Coturnix japonica: one gene and its partners. The protein of the gene in region 3 purifies or fractionates together with the protein of the main gene of each other region. This does not show direct contact. Links are inferred from orthologs where the notes say so. Each region holds a gene or a part of one and is shown on either strand. Other genes may lie near its edges. The genes, in order: SOX2, ATMIN, UBR5 and DYRK2.

Region 1 (4,075 bases), on a different chromosome or scaffold from region 3:
GGTGCGATAAACGCAGTGAGGAAGGGGCCCGGCCCCGCGCGGAGCCGCGCTCCGGTATCCGTTTGTTACACCACCACCGCCCGCTCCTGCCCGCTTTTCAAACTTCATTATCCCCAAAGCTGTAATATTATCGTTATGATTTGGAACGTTGTTATCAACCGCAGCCCCGTGCACGACCAATAAAAGCTGTCGGCGCGGGGGCAGTCGGGCCGCGCAAAAATCGCGCATCACCCGGTGCGCGCATCCCGCAACGCGCGCCCATTTTCCGACGCTTTCAACCCGTCTCTTCTCTCCAGGTTATATATATATATATATAAATACACCTTCGAATTACACGCGTTAAAGCCGATCACATTTATTTGCATAATCCAGAGATGCACCCTCTCCCGCCGCACTTTTTCTACGCGTTACCAGGACGGGGGAGGGCGGGGGGGGGGCACGGCCGCTCCCTTCCCCCCACTCCATCTCCCGCTGCTCCGCACGGTGCCGGCAGGGGGAGCCGCAGTGCCGCGGCTGAGCCCTCGCGGGGCGCCCGGGCGCTGCCCCGGCCCCAACCCGGCCCTGCTTGGGGCCGCGCTTCTCGGGGGGCCCTTCTCGGGGGGCCTCGGCGCTGCCGGGGAGCGCGGCCGCGGGCAGAACAGCGCCGTCGGGGCGCGGCAGTGCGCGTAGAGTGGGGCTGGTTAGAGCCCCCCCCCCCCCTTCCGCCCCCCTTTCTCTCCCCTCCTTCCTTTGTCGTCAAGTGCGTTTTAGCAACAAAGATCCCAACAAGAGAGTGGAAGTAAACTTAGCCGGGGCTTTGTGCAGCCCCGTGTAGCGACAACAAGAGAAACAAAACTACCTATTTGTCCTACGGGCCGCCCCCCCGCCCGGCGCGCCCACCCAGCATCGCACACGGGACGCGTCCCGGGGCTGCAGGCCGCGCACCGCGTTGTGCCGGGAGGGCCGTCGGGGGTTCTCCGCTCCTGCTTCCAGCGGGCACCCCACGATGGAAGGAGGGAGAGAGAAGGGCACGGCCGGCCCCGTTCTGCTCGGGGCCCGCTCGGCTCCTGTCGGCGGGGCAGCCCCGGGGCGGGGGCTCCGCTCCCCACGGACGGGGCGAGCGCTGCACACGCAGCCGGACGGCTCAGGGGACACCGCAACGGGGCGGGGGGTGGAGGGGAAACCATTCCTCCATTCCTGCTCCCCTTATGGCTTCTTCCAACATCGACTTAAAAAAAAAGAAAAAAAAAAGCAACGTAGCAACAATGCTGTTTACCCACTTCCTCCAAAAGGCGTGTGTGACCTGTTGCTGGAAGGGGAGATACAAAGGCTTCCCAGTGGCTGCCTGGGCCGGCCCTGGGCCCGCCCCCCCCCGCCGCGCCGTCCCGGCGGCTGAGAGCCCCCGCCCCGTTTCATGCAAAACCAGGGGTAGAGACTTGTCCTCAGTGGCGGAGCCGCCGAGCGCTGATTGGCCGGGGCGAACGCATTTATTCCCTGACAAGCCCCCATCACATGGATGGTTGTCTATTAACTTGTTCAAAAAAGTATCAGGAGTTGTCAAGGCAGAGAGAGAGAGTGTGTGTGTTTGCAAAAGGGGGTAAAGTAGTTTGCTGGCTCTTTAAGACCGAGGTGGAGAGAGAGAGAGAGAGGGAGAGAGAGAGGGCGGCAGGCAGAGAAAAGGGAAAAAGGAGGAAGAAGTTTTTTAAATCCGAGGCTCCGGCGGTAATAATAGCAGTTATTAGCATTATTAATCCATCAGCGAAGAGGAAGATTCTGATCTCGATCCAAGTGTGGTTTTGGGGAGTCCCCCTCCCCCCCTTCATACCCCTCCCTAGGAAAAAAAAAAAAAAAAAAAAAAGAGAGAGAGAAAAAAAAAGAAGTCCGGCTCGGGACTTGGGCGCCGCTCCGCTCCGCTTCTCCGCTCCGGGCTGGTTCCAGGCAAAAGTAGTTTGAATGTACAACATGATGGAAACCGAGCTGAAACCTCCCGCCCCCCAGCAAACTTCGGGGGGAGGCACAGGCAACTCCAACTCGGCCGCGAACAACCAGAAGAACAGCCCGGACCGCGTCAAGCGCCCCATGAACGCCTTCATGGTGTGGTCGAGGGGGCAGCGGCGGAAGATGGCCCAGGAGAACCCCAAGATGCACAACTCGGAGATCAGCAAACGGCTCGGGGCCGAGTGGAAGCTGCTGTCCGAGGCGGAGAAGCGGCCCTTCATCGACGAGGCCAAGCGGCTGCGGGCCCTGCACATGAAGGAGCACCCGGATTATAAATACCGGCCCCGGCGGAAAACCAAGACCCTGATGAAGAAGGATAAGTACACGTTGCCAGGGGGCTTACTGGCGCCGGGCACCAATACCATGACGACCGGGGTAGGGGTTGGGGCCACCTTGGGAGCTGGGGTGAACCAGAGGATGGACAGTTACGCGCACATGAACGGCTGGACCAACGGAGGCTATGGGATGATGCAAGAGCAGCTCGGCTACCCGCAGCACCCGGGCTTGAACGCGCACAACGCGGCGCAGATGCAGCCCATGCACCGCTACGACGTGAGCGCCCTGCAGTACAACTCCATGACCAGCTCGCAGACGTACATGAACGGATCGCCTACCTACAGCATGTCGTACTCCCAGCAAGGGACCCCGGGCATGGCCCTGGGCTCCATGGGCTCGGTGGTCAAGACGGAATCCAGCTCCAGTCCCCCCGTAGTCACCTCCTCGTCTCATTCGAGGGCTCCTTGCCAAGCCGGGGACCTTCGGGACATGATCAGCATGTATCTACCAGGTGCTGAAGTACCAGAACCAGCTGCCCCAAGCAGACTTCATATGTCCCAACACTACCAGAGTGCACCTGTTCCTGGCACAGCCATTAATGGCACACTCCCTTCTACTCAAATGTATGTAAGACAAAGGGGCCGGGGGGGCGGGGTGGGGGTGGGGGGGGAAGGAGAACTAAACAAAACAAACAAACAACAACAACAACAAAAAACTTTTATTAGAAATTCTGGACTTTTTGTTTTGTTTTGTTTTGTTTTTGTTGGTTTTTGTTTTTTGGTGGTTTTTTTTTGGACTATTTTTGTACAGAGAAAACTCTGGGGGGGAAGGGGAGGGGGTGGGGGGGGGGCAGGGAGGGGGTCAGAAATAAAGCCGACAAAGGAACTTGTATAGAGCTCGGAGGGGAAGCGACTACACAAAACTTTTTTAAAGTTCTAGTGAGAACGGTAGGAACTTTGCAGGAAAAGTTTGCAAAAGTCTTCACCGGTAATATTTAGAGCTTAGACTCCAAGAGCGGAGAGGAGAACGTTTGAATATTTGCAGGCAACTTTTGTACAGTATTTATCAAACTCCACATGGCAATCAGAATGTCCATCGCTCATAGGGAGAGGGGAGAAATCAAAGCCGAGAATTCGCGAGTGATTTTTTGACCACACAGACTCTCCGTGGAGCACCGTGGCCGTGGCAGCTCTGCTGACGGCAGCTGCGGGAGGAGAGGGAATTATTTTGCAGCATTTGGACGTTGAAAATTGGTTTGGAAATTGTACAAAAGGCAAAAGCGGTAGGAGGAAGACTGGCGAGCCGTGGGCTTGGTTTGCTGGGAGAGGGCAAACGTTTCGATGTACGACGTTTTGCTTTTATTTTCTTTTTTACTTCTGGTTAAAAAGCAAGAAAAAAAAACAAAACAAAAGGCCATGAAGGTTCACACGCCGTTTGTTAATTTATAATAACTTTTTTGTTTCCAGACTTCATCCCGTTCAAAGAGAAGGAAAAAAACAAACAAACAATCCCCCCCCCCCCAACCCCAACCTGAACTTACTGTGTTTGAAATATTTTCTTATGGTTTGTAATATTTCTGTACATTTATTGTGATGATATTTTAAGTTCCTTTTTTTTTTTTTTTTTTTTTTTTTTTTTTCCTCTCAACATATATTAGTAATTGAACAAAATTATTTAGGCTAACCATACCTCTTCAGGACATAAGAACACTGGCAGAGTAACATGAAGCCTTCTTTCATAACTTTTTTTTTTTTTTTTTTTTTTTTTTTTTCCTCCTCATTTTCCGTAGTTGTATTTTAAAGATTCGGCTCTGTATTATTTG
Region 2 (3,561 bases), on a different chromosome or scaffold from region 3:
TGTTCATTCGTCATTTAATGTTGCTACTCAAATTGAACTTCCAGAAAATAACTTAATGACTACAAACATAGATCAAACCTTGCTGCAAAGGAGTAATTGCAAGAGCCTCAATCAAGACACAGTGAAGTCTGAATCTCTTATTGGCTTCAGTACCCAGGCTAATATACTTCCACCTCAAAATACAATGGATAATCAAACCCAGACAATGGACTTGCTAAGTGATCTGGAAAATATCTTTTCAGGAAACATGTCTGGCCAGACACTGGATAATCGTGGCCTTTTGTCTGAGACTAGTTCTAATGCTGACACGCATCTGCCATCTGGTTCATCACAGAGCACTGGAATAGACTTTGACATTGAAGAGTTCTTTTCAGCATCCAATATCCAAACTCAGACTGAAGAGAGTGAGCTTGGTACCCTGCCCTCTGAGCCAGTTTTGGAGTCACTGGACATCGAAACTCAAACTGATTTCTTATTTTCAGATAGTGCCACTCAATCATATAGCTGCAGAGGAAATTCTAACTTCTTAGGCTTGGAGATGTTTGATACGCAGACGCAGACAGACTTGAATTTCTTTTTGGACAGCAATACCCATCTGCCTTTAGGGAGTATTCTGAAGCAGTCTAGTTTCTCCATGAGCACTGACTCATCAGATACAGAAACCCAGACAGAAGTATATCCTGCCACTAAAAACGTACCTAATCAGAACATAGAAAGCAAAGTCCAGCTCAGTAGTGCTGAAACACAGACTATGGATAGCTGCTTTGAGAATCTTGGGAATTTATTCCTTACCAGCAACGAGACGCAGACAGCAATGGATGACTTTCTTCTAGCTGACTTAGCCTGGAATACAATGGAGTCCCAGTTCAGTTCAGTAGAAACACAGACCTGTGAAGAGCTGTGCTCCTTGTTTCAGAGCTCTGACAAGCCCAGTCATTGAGTGCTGTGCAACAGAACTGTTTCCTGTGGTTTGAAATTAAGTTATTGGGGTGGGAGAGATGCATCGACCAAGTAACCCATTTCACATTGTTGAATGTAGTTATTGTGTGCGGTTGGCCTAAAAGACTTTTCATGCTGAAGGTACTTCACTGAAAATGTAACTTCAATATAAGTTATATGTGCATAAGGGGGGGGTTGGGAGGGGGACAAAACATGTTAATGTACATTTGAACCTTAAAAAAACAGTTTGTGGTGCCTATGTTTTTTGCTCAATCTTCTTTACAAACTGCTTCATTTAAACCGAAGAACCTTTTGAAAGTGTCCCATGTATATCTCCATGTATATCTATTTCTGGCTTATGTATAGGGTTCCACTGTGCTAGACCAAAACCTGCCCTGTCCAATTCAGATGCTTCCCTGAATTCTCTTAGTGTAAGCTACTTCTGTTGATGTTTTTTAGGAGCTTAGTGTCTGGTATGAACATAATAAGCCGTATTGTTTTTTCCTTTATGCCTTCACAGCTCTTTCTCCTGTTTAAGTTGCAGTGTTCTGAACACCCGTCCAACAGCCATAGATACATGTAGACTTGAATTATGGAATACCAATGATCTGCAAAATATGTAGAAAGCAGTAGCTGTTCTTCCCAGATGCTACTAATGCCCATTGAAGGGTAGAAAAAGAGCTTAGAATGCATAATCACTTGGAAAATTGTTATGATGTCCTTTTAGCTCGTGTCATAAATGGGACTAAAGTAATTTAAACTCTTTGAAGGGATTTGCTTGAATTATTTCTTACTGTAAGACACAAATGTTACGATGTTTGTGCCTCAAAAACTGGAATAGTTTGTTTTCTCTGAAATCCCCCTAGTTTCCACAAAGATGTAAGTTGGGAAATGTCACAATGGTTTATATTTCCACTACCTTAACAAAAACCATCAAAGTTGAGAAACTGAATTCTTTACCTATACTTGGATTTCAGCTTCCAGAACTGATGCAAACTCAACTGCATACAACAAGGCCGGAAGATGTGCTCACAAAAACCCTTTCAGAAAAGATGTATTTTGCTTTTGCACATTGATCTGCAGCAGGTGCTTCCTGCAGCTTTTGGAAAGTTTTCTGAGTTGTAATCAAAAACTGGGACTGATCTGTCAAAGACAAACATGTGACCTCTTGGATTTCTGTATGTTTATTTTACCCTTCGTATTGTGCTTGTAGCAGATGTATTGACATGGAAGAATACAAAGCCGGTTGTGAATGTATGCTGGAATTTGGCCTTAACTGATTCTTATCTTGTTGTAGTGCCTGCAGAAATGTAGGCCTCTGGTTTTGTCCTGGACAGGTTTTAGTTTCTATTACGTTAACTGAAAAATGAAACATCTTTATGTCATATTCCCGGGCTTTACTCCTCTGCTGTTGGATGTACTGGTTATGTGTTTACTAGGCGTCCCACCAGTAACAGATGTCTCAGCTGTAGTTTTCAAAGACTTGCTATGCTTTGTGCACAGCTTCATATCCTCAGCTCGAGGATATGGGAGTGCAGTTACTCACCCAACACAACTAGCTTGTTGTCTTGAAAATGAGCAATACCTTTTGATTTTATTATCTCATCTCACCCCTCTTTAAATTGCCATACTTAATTCAACACAGTATCTGATAGGTATCAGAATCCTACGCTGGTGCCCTGTGTCTTTCAGTTTGGATATATTAAATGTTTTTCTGCAAACGCAAAGGCTGCAATCAGGCTGTTTATAGTTGCTGGATCCCACAGGAAAGCTACTGAAACCTGGTCCGAAATATCATGAGTCAATATTACTTATTCTTAAAAGTGAAACAATTTACTTTAAATGGGTAATTGACTATTTTGAGCATTGTTTTCAAAATAAACTTCTCTGAGAGCTATTTCTTGGTAGTACTAAAATGATACTTATCTCCCTTTTTCTGCAGTTTGTCTCTGATTTGATTTTCAAGGCACTGACTCTGTTGTAAGTATTGGTCAGTAGTGACTTACTGTTTTGTTAATTCTCTCCTCTGTGTCCTCCGCTGCCATTTGAGCCGCTATATGAGAAGTAACATCAGGTTGTCCACAACCTCATAGCACAAACTTTTATCTGGAAGTGATACTAATATTACTTGTGCTTTCTCTTTGCTTTTCCTGCTTCATTAAGTTACGCTGCCATTGCTAGCTCTTGATCTGGAAGTCTGTAAATATTATTCTAAAACTCAATTAGTAGTTTAATTAGTCTGATTAGTGGTAGACTTGTGCATTTCCTTCGTATTGTCAAAATACAGAATACAAATATTATCCCCCATTGGATGTTATTGTGCATGGGTGGGCAAAGCTGAGTAGTGTACTTGAAACTTTTGGCTTCTGAGAGAACACTGTTAGAAAAGTGAACTGTGTTCCATTTTCAAGGTATGTGAAAATTTTAACAAGGGAAACAAGTAAATGTAGGACACACGTTCTGTGAGAAGCACAAAACAGCCCTCAAAAAAAAGAGAAAAAAAAAATAGAGTTCTGTCTTACATCATGTCTTGTTGCCTTCTATGTGTGTTTGTATGACAATAGATGGAGTTTCTTCTATATTTGGAGTTAGGTTTGTGTCTGTTTCTACAACCATGGATGT
Region 3 (4,301 bases):
TTGTGAAGGGCGGAAGGAATAGACTAATTGAAAGTAATTGAAATCTCACCCTTATATCCAGCCCTTCATAGAACTCCATTGAACAAGTCGTGTTATTTGGAAATGTCAGTGCTTCGGAAACTAGGTTTTAATCCTGGGAGCAAACATAAATTAACTGTATCTTCCCAAGTTCTACTAAATATAGTAGAAACATCCCCAAGGATGCAGGGACCACAGTCTGGTGCGGGTTGGAAGGGACCTTAGAGATCATCGAGTCCAACCCCCGGGATTCGAGCCTCTGTGTAGCAGAGCGGCACTTCTACCACTTGCGCCACAGGGGGATTCGAACCCAGGGCCTCAGGTGTTGCAACGCGGCATTGCTACCACTGCGCCACCGGGGCACACAACTTACACGTATCCTTCCAGCACCACAGACACCCGAGAGCGGACGTACGGGGAAATAGAGCAGGAGACCCCGGACCCGGCCGTGGATTCACCCGCGTCCTGCGCACCAGGCGGCTGCGGAGGGATGGGGGAGGGATGGGGGACGCAGGGGGAGGGGCGGAGCGGGGCTCCCTGAGGCGCGGGCCGGGCCTTTCATCGCCCCCCCTCACGTGATCTACTACGTCCCTCGCGCATGACGTCACCGCGCACGGCGCGAGGCTCGCACCTATCGGCGGCGGTTTTAGTGGAACGGCCCCGCCCGGCAGCGCGCCCGCCAATCGGCGCGAGCCTTGCAGCGTGGCGACGCGGCGCGGCCCCGCCCCGCCCGGCTCGGCGCACGGAGGGAGGGAGAAGGGCCCGCTGGAAGTTAAGATGGCGGCGCGTGTGTGAGCGCGGTGTGGGACCAGCCTCTTTCCGGCGGCGCCGTAGCTCGGCCGGCCCCTCCTTCGAGTCCTGCGCGTCTCCCAGCGAGCCCAGCGCTCCGCCGACGGCCTCGAGCGACCCCGGGGGAGGGCAGGAGGCCGAGCGCCCCCCTCCCCCCCGCCCCCATTGTGTGCCCGGCCCCCGCCCGCCCGCCTCCCTCCCTCCCGCCGCCGGGGGGGGCGGCGGCGGCGGCGCCGACCATGACCTCGATCCACTTCGTGGTGCACCCGCTGCCGGGCACCGAGGATCAGCTCAATGACCGGTGAGGGGCAGGCCCCGCGCGGCGGGGGGCGGAGGGGAGGGGCCGCCGGCGCGGCTCGGCCCCCGGCGGGGCGGGGGAGGGACCGGGGAGCTCCGGGCGGCGCCGAGGGATCCCCCGTCCCTACGTGCTGCCGCCCCGCTGCCGTCCCGTGGGGGCTCGGAACCCCCGTGTCTGCGCAGCCTGGGCCCCAAAGTTTGCCCCCCCCTGCTCCCCAGAGGAGCTCCGGGCTACTGGGGGGGCGGGGGAGCGCCATGCGGGGTGGGCAGAGGGGTGTATGGGGATCGCTGTGCTGTGCTCCGCTGTGCTCTGCTGTGCTCCGCTGCTCCTCGCTGCCTGCCGGGCCGTGCGCCTGCTGAGCTGATAAAGGCACGGCCCGTCTCCTCCTGATGGCCGCTGCGACGATCGGCCCGGAGACCTCGTGGGCAACTTTATCTGTCGCTGCGGATGGGGGGAAAGCGGAGCGCTCGGGAGAAAATACATCTTGGAAGCGAGTTCTTCTGCCTGATTGGTGCGGGTTTGACAGCGTTCTGTGTTGCAGCCCGGTGTTTTCCTGCAGTAATCGCGATCAGCCTGCATGGTAGTTTGTAAATGCCACTGCTGCCCTTATCTCGGCATTCTTAAGAACGTGTAGGTCTTAATCTTTGTTTCTCAGGGATATATGTGCGAATAACTTAGGATTTTTAATCGTCTCTGTATAGAGACTGACTTTTTTATTTTTTTTTTACACTGCTGAAAAACGTTACTTGTTTTTTATAGTATCTTCCTGATATTTATAATTTCTGGAAGTGTTGGCTCTTAGTAACGTTCCTCTGGTTTCTCATCTCACCAGGCTGCAGGGTAGGTCGGGGTCCAGCTAACTTTGCTGCTGTTGGCACTTTGCATTAGGAGAAGCGAGGAATCTCTGCTGAGACATCTCTGTTAATGCACAGCTGAGGTCCCAGAGCTCATGGCAAGGAAAATAGGTCAGCATAGAGATAAAACTTCTGCCAAACTGCATCATCCCTGCCCTTTCAGAGGGAGAGGAAACTTGTGTTGATAAAATGGGACCTGGACTTGCAACGTGTTGATGTGATGTGTCTATTCCTTAACCTGCTGATGCGTTTTGCAGGACCTGACCCTAAGGAGGCCTGCCCACTTGTAAGGGGGTTTCTTGGCTGCCTGCTGGATCACACAGAGTCACAGAATGACCCGGGTTGGAAGGGACCGCAAGGATCATGTAGTTCCAACCCCCCTGCCTGGCAGGGCCACCAAACATACACCTTTACTAGATCAGGTTGCCCAGGGCCCCGTCCAACCTGGTCTTGAATACCTCCAAGGATGGGGCATCCACAACCTCCCTGGGCAGCCTGTTCCAGGGCCTAACCACTCTCCTAGTGAAGAATGTGGATGCCACACAGCTCTGGCATGTGGCCCTCTCCCTTAGAGTGACAGACAGGTGATGCTGTGCTAGGAGTTCTCTTTCCTCCTTGGGCTGTTTTGACTTAGGGCGGTGATTGAGGACTTTAAACCTGAAAGAACCCCAGTGGTTTTCCCATATCTTTTATTTTTTAATGTCGATAGACCCTTCAGAAAATATTTAGCATGTAATTATGATGCCTTGGTTGGAGTGAGAGAGCTTGTCATTTTTTTCTTTAATGTCATGTATTGTATTGACTTACCATTTAAAATGGTGGCCCTGAATTCTTCATAATGCTTCCCAGGTTATTTATTGTTTCTACTCTGTACTGCTGCAGCAGCACTTATGACTTCTGCTTGAGTACAGGAAGCTTCATCAGGTGTGGTAATTAATAGATGGCAAAGGCAGCAGAAGTGCCCTGAAGTGTCTTGTTCTGAAAAAAAATCAGGTAGCTCTTGATCTGAGCTGCAAGGCAAACATTTCCATTTTGTAAGTGGGATTTGACAACAAGTGCGGTGGCTGTGCATCAGAACTTGTAGTGTGGTGAAGCTGCAGTGATTAACAGATAGGGTGCTGGAAATACCAGGTCAGTGTTATTGGTAGCTGTTCTGTCCTTATAGGTAACGATCAAGAGGGCTTAGTGAGTTTTCATATTTATGCAGGTAGCATTTAGGATCTTGGAACTTATTTCTGTATGGTGGGATGCCATACAGAACAGGACACAGGGAAATGGTTTTAAGTTGAAAGAGGGAAGATTTAGGTTGGATGTTAGGGGGAAGTTCTTCACTAGGAGAGTGGTTAGGCCCTGGAACAGGCTGCCCAGGGAGATTGTGGATGCCCCGTCCTTGGAGGTGTTCAAGACCAGGTTGGACGGGGCCCTGGGCAACCTGATGTAGTAAATGTGTATGTTTGGTGGCCCTGCCAGGCAGGGGTTTGGAACTACATGATCCTTGAGGTCCCTTCCAACCCGGGTCATTCTGTGATTCTGTGTGATTCTGTGTTCCTTTCATGGATGCAGTAATCACGTTTCAAACCTGTGATCTTGATGTGTTCAGGATACCTGATGGCTTTCGGTATTTTATAAGAACGTATTTGATAACACTATGCTTAATCATGTGTAGATATGGCAAGTGGGTGAATTGAATTTGGAAGGCATGGTTCTGTTGAAGTATTGTTCTGCTCTTGGGCTGTCTGCACAACATGAGGTGGCAGTTCTCTTCAGCTTGGGTTGGTGCAGTTTGTGTCATTTCTGTCCTGCAGCTTTTACTCATTTTCTGTGTAATTATTTGTGCCTCTTGCTCGTACAGCAACTTGGAGAACGGGGAAACGCTTTGCAGCAAAAAAAGTAACGTTAGAACTCTACAATTTGGCTGATGGCACAAGTGTAATGGGACAGTGCTCCTTAATGAGCATTGTTGGGAATGGTTCGCATTGCGCCTTGATGGCACTCATTAGACCTCTCTCTGCTTCCAACATTTGCTCGTTTGTGGTGCTCATTCAGATGTCCAGAAACAAACTAGCTGCACTGGAGGAGGCCCATAGAGTACACTGTTAGCTTTGCTTCTGGAGCTGTTAGGATTCATTCATTTGAAATAAGTGACAGGCTGCACTTGGGTTTTGGATGAGGTAGTTAAGCCTTTTATGGTGGGTTTATTGGGGAAGATGGGCAACCTCAGGTTTCATCCCCTTCCTCCCCCCCATTCCTCCCTCCCCCCGCACCCCGTTAGCAATGTGTTCTATTTGAACTGAATATGAAAGTTTTAAGGTGAGAAAAATCAGGATGACCCGCAGATTAAG
Region 4 (4,130 bases), on a different chromosome or scaffold from region 3:
TATCTCCCAATGAACACTGATGGTGCAAGTTCTTTAGTTTCAATGTGGATGTGTTTGTGGAAACAATGGGAAAACACCAAGAGACACCAGAAAACAGCATTTATAGCCCTGGTAGTGAAGGGATGGGAAATGTGCGGTGTCTGGGTACATCTGGGGGTTATAGAGGGGCACAAAGCTGCAGGGAAGGGAAAAGGTTGGGTGGGTGCAGGCTGGAAAAGGTAGGATTGTTTTCTCTCTGCAACAGGAGGGACTGAGGAAAGTGTTTATTTCTTTGTACCAGCACAGGAAATGTCTTTGTTTACACATTTATCTGTGGCACTGGAAAAGGCCAAGTCTTCCTCTCCAGCTGCAGGGATGGAGTTCTTTTTTTCTCAGGAAAGGGAAGATTTATTTGTCTGCCTTTCTCTGCGGCAGGGAATGAAGGGAGGTCTGCCTGTGGCAGGGGATGAAGGGAGCTCTGCTTGCAACCCCACTGGCTGCTTCAGAAGGGAAAATACACGCGATCCGTACACATTTCCAAGCGGGTTGAGCGTAGGCAGGAGAGTTCATTTCGACGCCGTCCCGGGCTGAGCAAATGTTCAGCTATCTATTTTTGGCTCTCGTGACGTTCAAGCTGACAAACCAGGAATTCAAAGCATTGTACTCGGCGAGGCACACGGCAGAGCAGGGCCCATAACTGCCCCCACCGCGCTCCCTCCCTCTGCATGGAGGCACGGGCCGCTCCGGCCCGACTCTCGAAGCTCTCCCAAGGCACCGCCATGTTGAAGTTTCCATCCCCTCGCACCGACCCTCCCACAGCCAGCGGTGCCACCGTCGTCCTCCCGCGGTGGCGGTGACCCCCTGAGGGCAGGCCCCAACATGGCTGTGACCTGGGGGTGACCAACGGCTCATCCCTTCCCCCTTCACCCCCGCTGGAGGCCGTTGGGCGGTTGCCGGGCGGCAGCGGGGAGCGGAGCGAGGCGAAGTGCGGGCGGGCGCGGGGAGCGCACGGGGACGCGGGGAGGAGCGGAGCGAGGGGAGGCGGCCGGCGGGGCGGGCACTGCCCTTCGGTGCGCTGTTTGTTCTCGTTCCGCCGCCCGAGGAGGAGGGCCCTGTCCGGCCGCCTTCTGCTGCCCCCCTCCCTCCTCCGAGCGAGGGGACCGGGGCGACCGGGGCGGGGGCGGGGGAGGTGATGAGCTTGGGCCGGGGGCTGCGGCGGCGGCGCGGCTGCTGCTGCTGCGGCTGCGGCGGGAGGAGACGGCGGGCCGAAGGAGGCTGTGTCCGGCCGGCCCGGGGCCGGGGGGATGCGGCGGAGGACGCGTCGGGCGCTGGGTGTAGCTGATCGGCGAGGAGAGGCAGCCGCCGCCCAGAGAGGCCGAGGAGAAGCGGAGGAGAGCCGCCCTGACATGCATTTTCCTCTCCCTCCTCTCCAGCGGCCATGTTAACCAAGAAACCCTCAGCGAGCGCCGCCGCCGGCGCTGCCTACCCGGCCGGTAAGGAGCGGGCCGGGCGCCGCGGGGTCGGAACAATGCTGCGGACCAGGGGGGAGAACCGGGGGGAAGGGGGGGGTTCCGGCCGTCGGTGCGAGCGCGGGGCCGCGGCGGCCATCGGCTTCCGATGGCTTCTGCCCGAAGCGGGACGGGGCGGCTCGGGGCCGCCGCTGCCCTCCGCGCTCACCCCTCTGCTCTCCGCAGGCAGGGCAGGGGACAGCGGCCGTCCGCTGCAGTCTTCCCCGGGTGCAGGAGCCGGGGTCTCCCGGGCAGGAGCTGGGACCGGCCCACCGTCGCCCCTCGCATTGCCGCCGCTCAGGGCCAGCAACGCCTCCCACACGGTGAGCACGGGCATGGGAGGGGGTCGGGAGGGTGGTGGTGGTGGTGATGGTGGTGGTGGTGGTGATGGTGGTGGGGGGGTCCACGGAGCGCCGCCGCCTGTCCCGCCCCGCGGGGCGCTCGGGGCCGGTTCTGCAAACTCGGAGCGGAGGAGAGTGTGGGTTCCAGGGCTGGCAGGCTGGAACCGAGCTGCAGAGCGGCTCCCCCTTCCTGCAGCCCCCCTTCGCTCCGCTTTACGTGTCGTTGTCGGTAACAAATTAGATCTTGTGCACAGACAGCGAGGAGCTGTTCTGGTAAACGGGTAAACGCCTTTTTGGGGATGACATTTTGGCAGTGAGGTTAGTCGCTGTGATTAAAGGGTCGCGTGAGCCATGGCGAGGAATGAAGGCTGCTCTCCTATGTCTCTGATTAGCTCAGGCCGATAGCCGTCTTCCCTTGGAAACAGCTGTCGTTGTACTCCAGGGCGACGATTGGATGGATCTGACTTTATTGCTGCGGTGGTTTACCTAAAGAAATAAGCACCGATGCTATGAAAAGGATGTTATTTTCCGGTTCTGTGATATCTCACATTATCTCCCTCTCCCAGTTAATCTACCAGGAATGGAACTTCCCAAGTATGCCACTATATATGGATGAGAGAGGGTATCTCTGTCCTGAAGGCATGACGGGGTAGAGGGAGATGGGGCTGTGTGCCGTCGTGTTAACGCAAAATATCTGACATATTTCTTGCATACATTTCCTTTTAAATGATGAAAAAACTCGTACTGACCCTGAAAGGCATTGATGGCATACTTGGCTTAGAATTAATGAGTTCTCCACGGATGCTCACGTACTATCTTCATAAACATATGGCAGAGCTTTAAACAGTAATGTGATTATGGGCTAGTGGAAGGTGAAACTATGCATTTAGACATTAGCGTTTCGGTGACTTTCTGTATAGCTTCAGGGGTAAAAGCGTCTTATTCAAATCCAGTTATAGAAAGAATTGGCTTAAATGTAATAAATAAATAAATAAGTGCAAGTTTATGTAGGGTGTTTTCAAGAGGAATGATGAATATTCTGCAAATGTGAGGTGGAGCTGCATACTTGAGGTCAACATCGCTGTGTCTCTATGTAGCCAGGATGTATATCTGAATCGTTGGGTACTGCCAAAGGTAGGTTTTTGCACGTTTGCATTCCAGTTAAGTGCTGGTTGATTTGAGAAGTGAGAAAGTGGTCTACGTATTTCTTTTAAGCCAGAAAATAATCATTGTACCGATGGCCTGGGCATGGGTTGTGAAAATACACATCCAGAGATGGGCCCCACTAATAGCAGGGGCTGATGTGTAACAGAGCCCAGACTTAATTTAGAATCTGTGAAAGCCCAGTGGTCCAGTCGTCTGTCTGGGATTGCTGACTAATTTTGGTAGCATGGAACTGTGGTATTTTTATAGATACGCTTGTGTGTGTACGATATATCTATCTACATACACTATATATATATGTGTATAAAGATGAAGTCTTTATGAAAGCTTGCAAGGAGTATTTGAGTATTGCATTTCTGCTTCCAGTATATTTGTAGATGTATCGTCATGCATGTACACATGTTATCTATAGCATATATATGCCGATAGATAGATACGTACATATAGACAGAAAGCCTATGGAAGCATTGAAGGATGATCAAGCATTATACTGCTGTGTTTCAAGTCTCTCTGGGTTCTGACTGCTGCAGACTCTGCTGTGCCTTTGTGACACAGATACTACTCCTCGGTCTTTATTTTACCTTGAGTGCTATTACAGAAATACCTCCGACAGGCTCTGAATTTTTTAGGGCATTATTTTGTGGTTGCCTAACAGAACTTTTTGTGGTAAGGATCAGATGTGACATCAGGATGCTGGATTTTAACCTAAAACAATGGTTATGTGTGGTATGGGAGCGTTCTATAAACTTCAGGCCTGCTGACCTCAGCTGACACTGACTGAAACTATTGGTTTCATCCACTACTTCCTCAAATGAAATGTATTTAAAAATAAACGTTTCAGTTTTCTTAAACCATTTTCTTCCTCTGTATTCATTTGCTTAATCAACCCTGTTGTGCCTGTGTGACTTCTCCAGCAGCTAAAAAATGAAATGAATATTTCTCTTTGGTGTTGCAGACTTTCAGAAGGCGTAGCTTACATAGGCAGCGTATACACATGTGCATTGTGTATACACTGATTGTGAAGGGACACCATGGTGGAAATATTAAGCCAAAAAGTTCTTCTTCTAGTCCAGCTGGAGAAATGCACTACTTGTCATATTTCTTGCAGCAGCTGTATAATCCAGCCTCTAGGAAAACT

The links.
Region 1: the proteins of UBR5 (region 3) and SOX2 purify together in Homo sapiens (affinity purification with western blotting; 3 studies listed by BioGRID and IntAct, with this or other methods). This does not show direct contact. The link is inferred for Coturnix japonica from reciprocal best matches to the Homo sapiens genes UBR5 and SOX2.
Region 2: the proteins of UBR5 (region 3) and ATMIN purify together in Homo sapiens (affinity purification with western blotting; 3 studies listed by BioGRID). This does not show direct contact. The link is inferred for Coturnix japonica from reciprocal best matches to the Homo sapiens genes UBR5 and ATMIN.
Region 4: the proteins of UBR5 (region 3) and DYRK2 purify together in Homo sapiens (affinity purification with western blotting; 3 studies listed by BioGRID and IntAct, with this or other methods). This does not show direct contact. The link is inferred for Coturnix japonica from reciprocal best matches to the Homo sapiens genes UBR5 and DYRK2.

The regions. Positions count from the first base shown.
Region 1 is NC_029524.1:14,829,329-14,833,403, reverse strand, and holds SOX2 (transcription factor SOX-2), read left to right. Parts: upstream 1-1,224; 5' UTR 1,225-1,932; coding exon 1,933-3,147; 3' UTR 3,148-3,788; downstream 3,789-4,075. UniProt on the Homo sapiens protein: Transcription factor that forms a trimeric complex with OCT4 on DNA and controls the expression of a number of genes involved in embryonic development such as YES1, FGF4, UTF1 and ZFP206. Binds to the proximal enhancer region of NANOG.
Region 2 is NC_029526.1:13,622,734-13,626,294, forward strand, and holds part of ATMIN (ATM interactor), read left to right. Parts: coding exon 1-940; 3' UTR 941-3,561. UniProt on the Homo sapiens protein: Transcription factor. Plays a crucial role in cell survival and RAD51 foci formation in response to methylating DNA damage. Involved in regulating the activity of ATM in the absence of DNA damage. May play a role in stabilizing ATM.
Region 3 is NC_029517.1:117,629,334-117,633,634, forward strand, and holds the start of UBR5 (E3 ubiquitin-protein ligase UBR5), read left to right. Parts: upstream 1-1,479; 5' UTR 1,480-1,494; coding exon 1,495-1,616; intron 1,617-4,301. UniProt on the Homo sapiens protein: E3 ubiquitin-protein ligase involved in different protein quality control pathways in the cytoplasm and nucleus. Mainly acts as a ubiquitin chain elongator that extends pre-ubiquitinated substrates.
Region 4 is NC_029516.1:31,679,875-31,684,004, forward strand, and holds the start of DYRK2 (dual specificity tyrosine-phosphorylation-regulated kinase 2), read left to right. Parts: upstream 1-1,299; 5' UTR 1,300-1,417; coding exon 1,418-1,472; intron 1,473-1,673; coding exon 1,674-1,810; intron 1,811-1,908; exon of another isoform or gene 1,909-2,314; intron 2,315-4,130. UniProt on the Homo sapiens protein: Serine/threonine-protein kinase involved in the regulation of the mitotic cell cycle, cell proliferation, apoptosis, organization of the cytoskeleton and neurite outgrowth. Functions in part via its role in ubiquitin-dependent proteasomal protein degradation.